Linked DNA regions of Cricetulus griseus. The protein of the gene in region 1 interacts with the protein of each later gene in a pairwise test. Links are inferred from orthologs where the notes say so. Each region holds a gene or a part of one and is shown on either strand. Other genes may lie near its edges. The genes, in order: Csde1 and Hid1.

Region 1 (3,812 bases):
TACCTGAGGTAGGAGCTGGGAATTTAGGTCCTTTGAAAGAAAATACATTATTATGCATATAGGTTTCAACCAGTTAATCCTCTCTCCATCCCATTCCCCCACCTCTTCCATGCCTAGACACCCACATGCACACCCATACATCTTACTATGCAGCTTAGGCTGATTTAGAACTCAAGATCTTACCCAGTTGAGATTATAGGGAGTCTGAGGCCAGTTCTATTTCTTGAATAATTACTTAACCATAAATGCTTCTAAAATGCCATTAAAGATGCCTGAGTTTAAGCCAGGTAAGTGGTGGCGCATGCCTTTAGTCCCAGCACTCAGGAGGCAGAGGCAGGTGGATCTCTGTGAGTTCTAGACCAGCTTGGTCTACAAGAGCTAGTTCCAGGATAGACTCCAAAACCACAGAGAAACCCTGTCTCGAAAAACGGAGGAGGAAAAAAAAAAAAAAAAGCCTGAGTTTGGCATAACAGACACTCATATTTAAAGATGTTTTCTGAGCCTGACATGTTGCCACACATCTTTAATCCCAGCACTCACAAGGCAGAAGCAGCTGGATCTGGATCTCTGTGAGTTCCAGGATAGTCAGGGCTACACAGACAAACCCTGCCATGTAAAACGACCCAACCAACAAACAGATAAAAATTTGTTATTGTTACTTCTATTTTCTATCCCCCACCTAAATAAAGAAAAAAAAAAAAGCATAAAAAAAATCAGGACTTGTCTGGTTTCCTCACAACTATATCTCTATGGCATCAAACACATTGTGTACTTAGGTTTCTGTGGAATCAAAATGGATGGTCTTAGCTGTCCTATATCTAGGATTCAAGGTAAAGTATTATTTGAGGCATTTAGATAAAGAAAGCCAAAATGGTGTTGAGGCTATGTAAAAATAGAAAATGCCAAAGCTGTATCTGTCAAGTACTAGACCCTGGGCTCCACTCCCAACATGAATAAACACTCCCCCAAAACGGCTAAGATTGTCTTCATTTTTCACATTTAGACCTACGATTCACCAAAGTAGTCTACCAAGACAATGCATATTTTCCTAAAAGCATTAAGATGTATTTATAGAGAGAATGTAAAATACATTTCTGAGATTAAAAAAAAAAAAAGCAGGGTGCTTAAAAACAAAAAAGGCATTTAATACAATTCTAAAAATTATCAGAACCGCATTAGTTCCCCATCCCACTGCAAAATCAGATACAATCCAGGCATAGTGGCACACATACTAGGGAGCTACAGCCAGTGGTTCTCTGAGTTTGAGCCCAGCCTGATCAACACAGCCAGTTCTAGGCTAGCCACAGTTAGAGAGAGACCCTGTTCTAAATTCCTACAGTCCCCAAATTCGAAATACCATCTTTAATGTTACCCAAATCACCAAAAACTTGATAAAACAGATTGTCATGTCCAGAATTTTAGAAACCTAAGACAGGGGTTAAGAACATGGATGTCTTCTTGACAAACAGCCAAGGTATACTGCTGATCTGGCACCAGAGAGCAAATCTTATCTTATCCTCTTCTCCTACCCTATCTACTATCTTCCAATCAAAGCATAGGATGAATAAGGAATCACAATTCATTACCTGAATGAGTTTTGTTTACTTTCTCAGCACTGACTTTATTGCCTTTGCCTTTGGACAAGCTGTATTCAACCATATCTCCCAGTTCCAGGCTATCAACATCACCAGAGAACTCACTAAAGGGAAAGGAAAACAGTGACATCAACAGCATCAAGTAGCCTTTACTCTTTCTAACATTCATAACAACTCTGCTTACACTGAACACTGTTCTAAGGAATTGATTCATTAAATGCTTAAACAAACAAACAAAAGACCCCATTAAATGAGGTACCCTATATCTCTGGCTTCAAGGTAATGAAAAGAAACAAAGAAATTAATTCATTTGATGGAAGTAACTTATGTATTTAAGTGGCAGAATCTGAATCAAAACTAAAATATCTGGTTCTGATTCAAAGAACTCACACTTTACAGTATATGCTATAACTGTATATGAAATCACATCACTCTGGTACCAATATTTACAACAAAGCATATTCTTTTATTTAAGAAATATAAAAAGGCCGGTTAAGTGTATTATTTATTTTTTTGGCAGATGACTAACTTCTGTATACATCTTGCCATAATTACAAATAGGAAAATTGGGTCTCAAAAACTGTAATTTCCAAAAAGTTTCTGATTAAATTTTTGAAAACTAATGCAAAATATGAATAGTATGCTACCTAAAAGGCATTCCTTACCTATAATGGAAAAATATTTCCTTATCATGATTAGCTGTTTCAATAAATCCAAAATTATCTTTCAGAGTTGCCACATAACCCAAGAGCCTTTTGGAGTTAGAATTACGACCTAAAAGTCTCACACAAGTTGCAATCTGCTGTCCAGGCCTCTGTTTGTCACTAATACTAAATTCAACCTACAAAAAAAAAGTGATAATTAGCATCACCATCAGTTCCACATCAAGTTCTGTAACTCTAAAAAGGAAACCCAGAAAACCCCAACACCATGTTTTTTACTTCAGACCTCTTTCGTAATTACTTTAATAATTTCCAGAAAATACTAGACATCAAAACTTATTTTTCATAAAGGATTAAGTTTTGTCCCTCAACTTTTTATAGTATTAATCTCTCTAAAAGAAGGATGTCTAAAAAAGCAGGCAATATAAACCTTTGGCATAATTTTATGCTGGCTCCATTTCATAAGTGCTTTAAGCTTTCTTGTGGAAATATTTAACTGTATTGAATGGTTGTGCACCTTGCCTATTTATTGAGTGCTAGAGTTACAGGTGTATTCACCTCACCTGTCTCTAAAATTAGCTCATGCTACCAGGCAGTGGTGATGCACCCCTTTAATCCCAGCACTCGGTTGGCAAAAGTAGGTGGGTCTCTGTAAGTTCAAGGCTAGCCTGGTCTATAGAGTGAGCTCCAGGAAGCCAAAGATGTTACACAGAGAAACCCTGTAGTGGAAGGGAGGAAGAAAAAAAAAAAAAAAAAAAAAAAGCTCATGCTAAAAAACCTAGTATTCATCACTATGTTTTAGAAGCTCACAAGACCCTGTTTTAATTACGTATTTAACCTTTCAAGTGCAAAAATACTTCATCCAAGCTCAACAAAATTTAAAGTATCCATCAGGCTTTATGATCAAGATGACAATCACGAACTTGAATTTTCTTGCCTTATCTCCTATTTGAGGAGAAGTAGATCCTTCCACATCCTTGGCTTGAAAAGCAATAGTCAGTTTCACCCCACAGTCATCATAAGCAATAATGCCATCTTCCGCCTCCTAAAATAAATAAATAAATAAATAAAATACAAATAAATATCCTCAAGAACACTGACAAATTATTATAATTATTTTTATTTGGCTTTTTTCCCCCAAGACAGGATTTCCCTGTGTAGCTCTGGAGACTGTCCTGGAATTAGCTCTTGTAGATCAGGCTGGTCTCGAACTCAAAAGAGATCAGCCTGCCTCTGCCTCTGGAGTGCTGGGATCAGAGGTGTGCGCCACCACTGCCCGGCCACTAACAAGTTATAAAAAGGTAAGAAAGAATTAGCTACAGAGCTCGGAAATCCAGGAATTTATTCCAGGACTCTCTAAATAATACAAGGTAAAACACATGAAATAAAAGGTATGCCTGACTTCACTCAGAACTGCCTCCTCAATCTATGATCACTGAGCCTTTTCAGTTTTTATCAAAAATTAAATCAAGTATTTCATTTCCAGCCATGAGAAAATTTGTTTGCAGCATGAAGCTTAGCCTTTTCATAAAGACTCTTTAATATTTATTCCTAA
Region 2 (4,255 bases), on another chromosome or scaffold:
AGGATTCCTGTTTGGGATAAAGTCACCTTGTTTTGAAGTATCCAGGATTCCCAGGAGCTTTCGGACACAGTAGGATGATGGTGTGTGAAAATACCACTTTTTTTTTCTACATAGCTCTAGCTGTCCTGGCTTGCTATGTAGACTAAACACCACTTTCTTGCGGGTGAGGGGATCTGGACTTGACTTTCTTTTTCCAAGGCTGGTCTCAAACTCACTATGTACCAAGGATGACTGGGGCTTCTGCTTCTCCTGTCTTCACCTCCTGAGTTCTGAGATTTCAGGTGCATGCTAGCTATTATTATTATTATGATGATGATGTATCCAGCCATTATCCTTAATTTAAGATTAGAGTGCTTGCCTAGCATGCACAAGGCCCTGGGTTCGATCTCCAGCACCTCATAAGATCAATGTTGGTTGTGCACACTTGTTATCCTGACACTTGGAGAAATGGATTAAAAGTTCAAAATCACTAACAGTGAGCTTGAGGCCAGTCTAAGATAAACTCCCAAAGCAAAGTGTACTGGGCTACACCGTGAGTAACTCCTTTATTCTCCTAAGAGCAGGTTCTGTGATGTGGTCCTGCAGAGACAGTGTTGTCTGCCTGCTCCTCTGCACTTCAAGGAGTTCCCAGGGAAGCCAGGGGACCAGAGAGGGGTCAAGACCCGAGGAGGCATCGTTTGTTGCCAGCTAGGTGCTCAGCTACCTTCCTGGAAGAGAGACACTGAGTCAGACCCTCCACACAAGTTAGGGCTGAGACCGCAGTGTGGTTAGAATAACTGCTGGGGTACCTATGGGTTGGACAGGTCAGAAAGAGAAACAAACAAAAAAATCCAAAAAGGAAAAAAAAAAAAAAGAAAAGAAAAGGCTCCAACAGCAACAATAATAGGGAAACAGGAAAGTCAGAGAGAGATGGCTGGAGGAGAAACTGCAAGCCCTGGGGCGGAGCGGGAATAAAGACTCTAAATGGAGGCAGGGGGTGCGATGTCCGGGGGATTTTGATCTTGGAGACTGAGTGACAGAAGCGGGAGATGGAATGGGACAACACTCGATTGTAGTTCAGTAGGACCAGCAGTTGGGTTCCACTGAGAACTCTGGACCACCGCTTCTCTGGAGGCCTGAACGGCAGGTGCAGAGGCGGGGCCTCTGGGGGCGGGTCTAAGGGCGGGGCCGCAGGGGGCGGGGCCGACGCCGGCGGCGGGCGGGGTTCGCAGCTCCGCTCCGCTCCTCCGCTCCTCCGAGAGCAGCTGGGGCCGCCGAGCTGGAGCTAGAGCCGGAGCCCGAGTCCGCGGCGGAGTCGGAACCCGGGGCTGGGCCGGAGCGGGCTCCATCGACATGGGGTCCGCAGACTCCAAGCTGAACTTCCGGAAGGCGGTGATCCAGCTGACCACCAAGACGCAGGTGCGCCCGGGGGCCCAGCCTCTTCATCCACCTGCGGGGCTTGGGGGCAGGGCAGGGCAGTGACGGGGGCTGGGTGAACTTGCCTCACTCGAGCGAGCGTAGGGTGACCCGCTAATCCCTACGGGAGGGGGATGCTGAGACCAGCACCGGGACGGGATCTTCCCTCTGCTCCGCAGGGCTCCATCTCTACCTCTGGGAGCCCACCCTAAGCCTGCTCTCCCCTGGGAGCACTCTCCCGGGCGCTGCGGCTGCCACCTTAGGCTGACGTGTGCCTACTCCCGAAGCCGGCGGCGACAACGCTATCCGCCCCCCGTCCCGCCCTCCCCAGTGCCCGCAGCCCCGCATAGCCAGCCTCATCCCGCTCCCACCTACCCATCCATCGCCCGGCTCTCCTTCCTGCCCTCAGTGCCCACGATCCCGGACGCACAGCCCGGGCTGACTCAATGCAAACAAAGCCGGGCCGGCGCCTGCCGGGCTCGGGGAAAACAGCTGGTGTGCGGTGGCAGCGGCGGCCTCTCTGGGCCCTGGTTGATGCCTGCGGGCAGGGAAGGCCCAGGTCTTCCTGGGAGCTCACAGAGTGGCTGGCGGCGGCAGCCGAGTAAGAGGAGCTGTCCTCGGGCCTAGGGAAACCAGCTTCCCAGCTAGGGATGCTCCAGGGGCTTCTCCGGGCCCGATGGAGCTGATTGGCTGTGCATTCTGGTCCCCGAAATGGGGATTCGGGGATTCCGGGTTCAGGTATGAGGAGGGACTCCCAGACTGCCTTTAGTCTGTTGCAGAGGGAGCCATAGGTACCTTCAGCTCAGTCCATGCTCCTACCTTTCCCCCTGAGTCCACAAGTGTCACAGAAGCCACCCCCTATCTCAAGCACACACACCTCTTGACACGGATAGGTTCCTCCCTTGCCCTCCTCTCTCTCCTTATTGCTGGGACCAAGCTACTCTGATCAGGAGCTACCCAGCCATGTCTCTCCGGGGCGGGGGGGGGGCTGACTGTCAAAGGGCTCTGGACCTACTACCATCTGGAACCCCACCCCCATCCCGCTGTTCTCAGAGCTCTATATTGTTCTTGGCCGGTTTGAGTGGGATCAGGAGAGCCATCTTCCCACAGCCAGCCAGTCACAGCCTCAGCGGGCAGAGCTCTACTCCCTCCCATACTCGGCTGCCCACCTTGGGAAGGTCTGCCAGGGCTTCTGTCCAGAGAGGCATTTCCAGCCGAGAGGCACTTGATGAAAACCAGAACTTCTCTTTGCTCCCATGACTTGTTCCAGAACCCCAAAGATGAGACTCTAGGTCTGTGGGCAGCAGAAAAGGGTGGTTTGGGGCACCTCACACAGTATAGGGTGACAGGGAGGGAGGAGGGTGTCTTCCATGTTTACTGCCTTGCTGGAAGGTGTGGTAGGCGCAGCAGGTCTTTGGGGAGCAGGATGAACTCAGACTGATCTAGAAGGTGGGCAGTGCCGCTGCTTTGGCAATCTCCCCTGAATACTGCATCCGAGTCTCTTTTCCTGGCTGAGATGGTCTGTCATCCTTAGCTGAAGACACTTAGTTGCGTGGACCAGGGCCTAGAGTAGGCTGAAGACCTGGCCTGGGCTACTCCCCGTCTCCCCACCCCTTCCCTTCTCCTTTCCCTCCTCTTCCTCCTCCTCCTCTCTCACCCCTTCCTCCTCCTCCTCTTCAATTTATATTATTTATTTTTGGGGTGTGTGTGTGTGTGTGCCCGAGCGTGTGTGTGTGTGTGTGTGTGTGTGTGTGTGTGTGTGTGTGTGTGCACCAAGGCCTATGTGTGGAGGATAACCTGTAGGAGTCAGCTCTCTTCTTCCACTCTGTGGATCCTAAGGATTGAATTTAGGTTATTAGGCTTGCATATCAGCAAGCAGAAAGTGTCTTTACCAAGTGTTTTTACCAAGAGCCTTTACCAAGAGTTTTTACCATGAGCCATTTCACCTACCCATGGGCTTTTTTGTAAGCATGGGACCTCTCACAGGTGGGAGAGGGTCAAAGCCTTGGACTCTTTGTAGTGATCAGCTTTGGGCAGCTGAGATTCAAGAGTCTAAGGTGGTCTTCCTGGACCTTCACTCAGTGTCCCCAAGGTGCTTCAGGTGTGTTGACCACAGGATGACCTCACTTCTAGACCCTCAGAGACTGTGCTTTGGGCATTGAATGAGTGGACTCTTCTGAAGCTGGGGCCTGGGCCCTTGCAGGTCAACCTTCCCTGCTTTCCGCCCCGCATCCTGTTTTATTTCCTGCCCTGTTGGCCAGCCCTGGGCTGGGCTTAACCCTAACTCTGAGGCCAGCAACATTGGTTGTGTTTCCTGTCTCCTTACTTGGCTGGAGCCCCAGGGTGGGACATTAGCAGGTTCAGAGACACCCCTCCCCCCAGATCCTGCCTATTTGAGGGTGCTGTGCTACAGGCCAGGGTAAGAGCTGATAGGTTCACATGCACATTCGTTCACATGCACGCACACGTGTGCCTAGGGTGTTTTGATCACCTGTCAGGACAGATCATCCTCATCAGGCTAGATCACAGCTGGTTTTGCCCCCTGCCACACCCACTCCAGAAGGAGACTGTTAAAAGCCACAACTGGGGGGCTGGAGAGATGTCTCAGTGGTTAAGAGGGCTTGTTAATCTTTCAGATGAAGAGTGGTTCACAGCACCCATATGGGTGGCTCACAACTATCTATGACTCCAGCTCTGGGAGATCCAACACCTTCTGGTCTCTGTGGGCACCCTCATGCATGTACATGCGCGCACACACACACACACACACACACACACACAGAGAGAGAGAGAGAGAGAGAGAGAGAGAGAGAGAGAGAGAGAGAGAAACATACACACACACACACACAGAGAAACACAC

What was found.
Region 2: the proteins of Csde1 (region 1) and Hid1 interact in binary tests that used the Homo sapiens proteins (3 or more experiments, as listed by UniProt). The two-hybrid records come from large-scale screens. The link is inferred for Cricetulus griseus from reciprocal best matches to the Homo sapiens genes CSDE1 and HID1.

The regions. Positions count from the first base shown.
Region 1 is NW_023276806.1:53,919,336-53,923,147, forward strand, and holds part of Csde1 (cold shock domain-containing protein E1), read right to left. Parts: intron 3,303-3,812; coding exon 3,195-3,302; intron 2,437-3,194; coding exon 2,261-2,436; intron 1,700-2,260; coding exon 1,587-1,699; intron 1-1,586. UniProt on the Homo sapiens protein: RNA-binding protein involved in translationally coupled mRNA turnover.
Region 2 is NC_048600.1:127,974,010-127,978,264, reverse strand, and holds the start of Hid1 (protein HID1), read left to right. Parts: upstream 1-1,203; 5' UTR 1,204-1,332; coding exon 1,333-1,398; intron 1,399-4,255. UniProt on the Homo sapiens protein: May play an important role in the development of cancers in a broad range of tissues.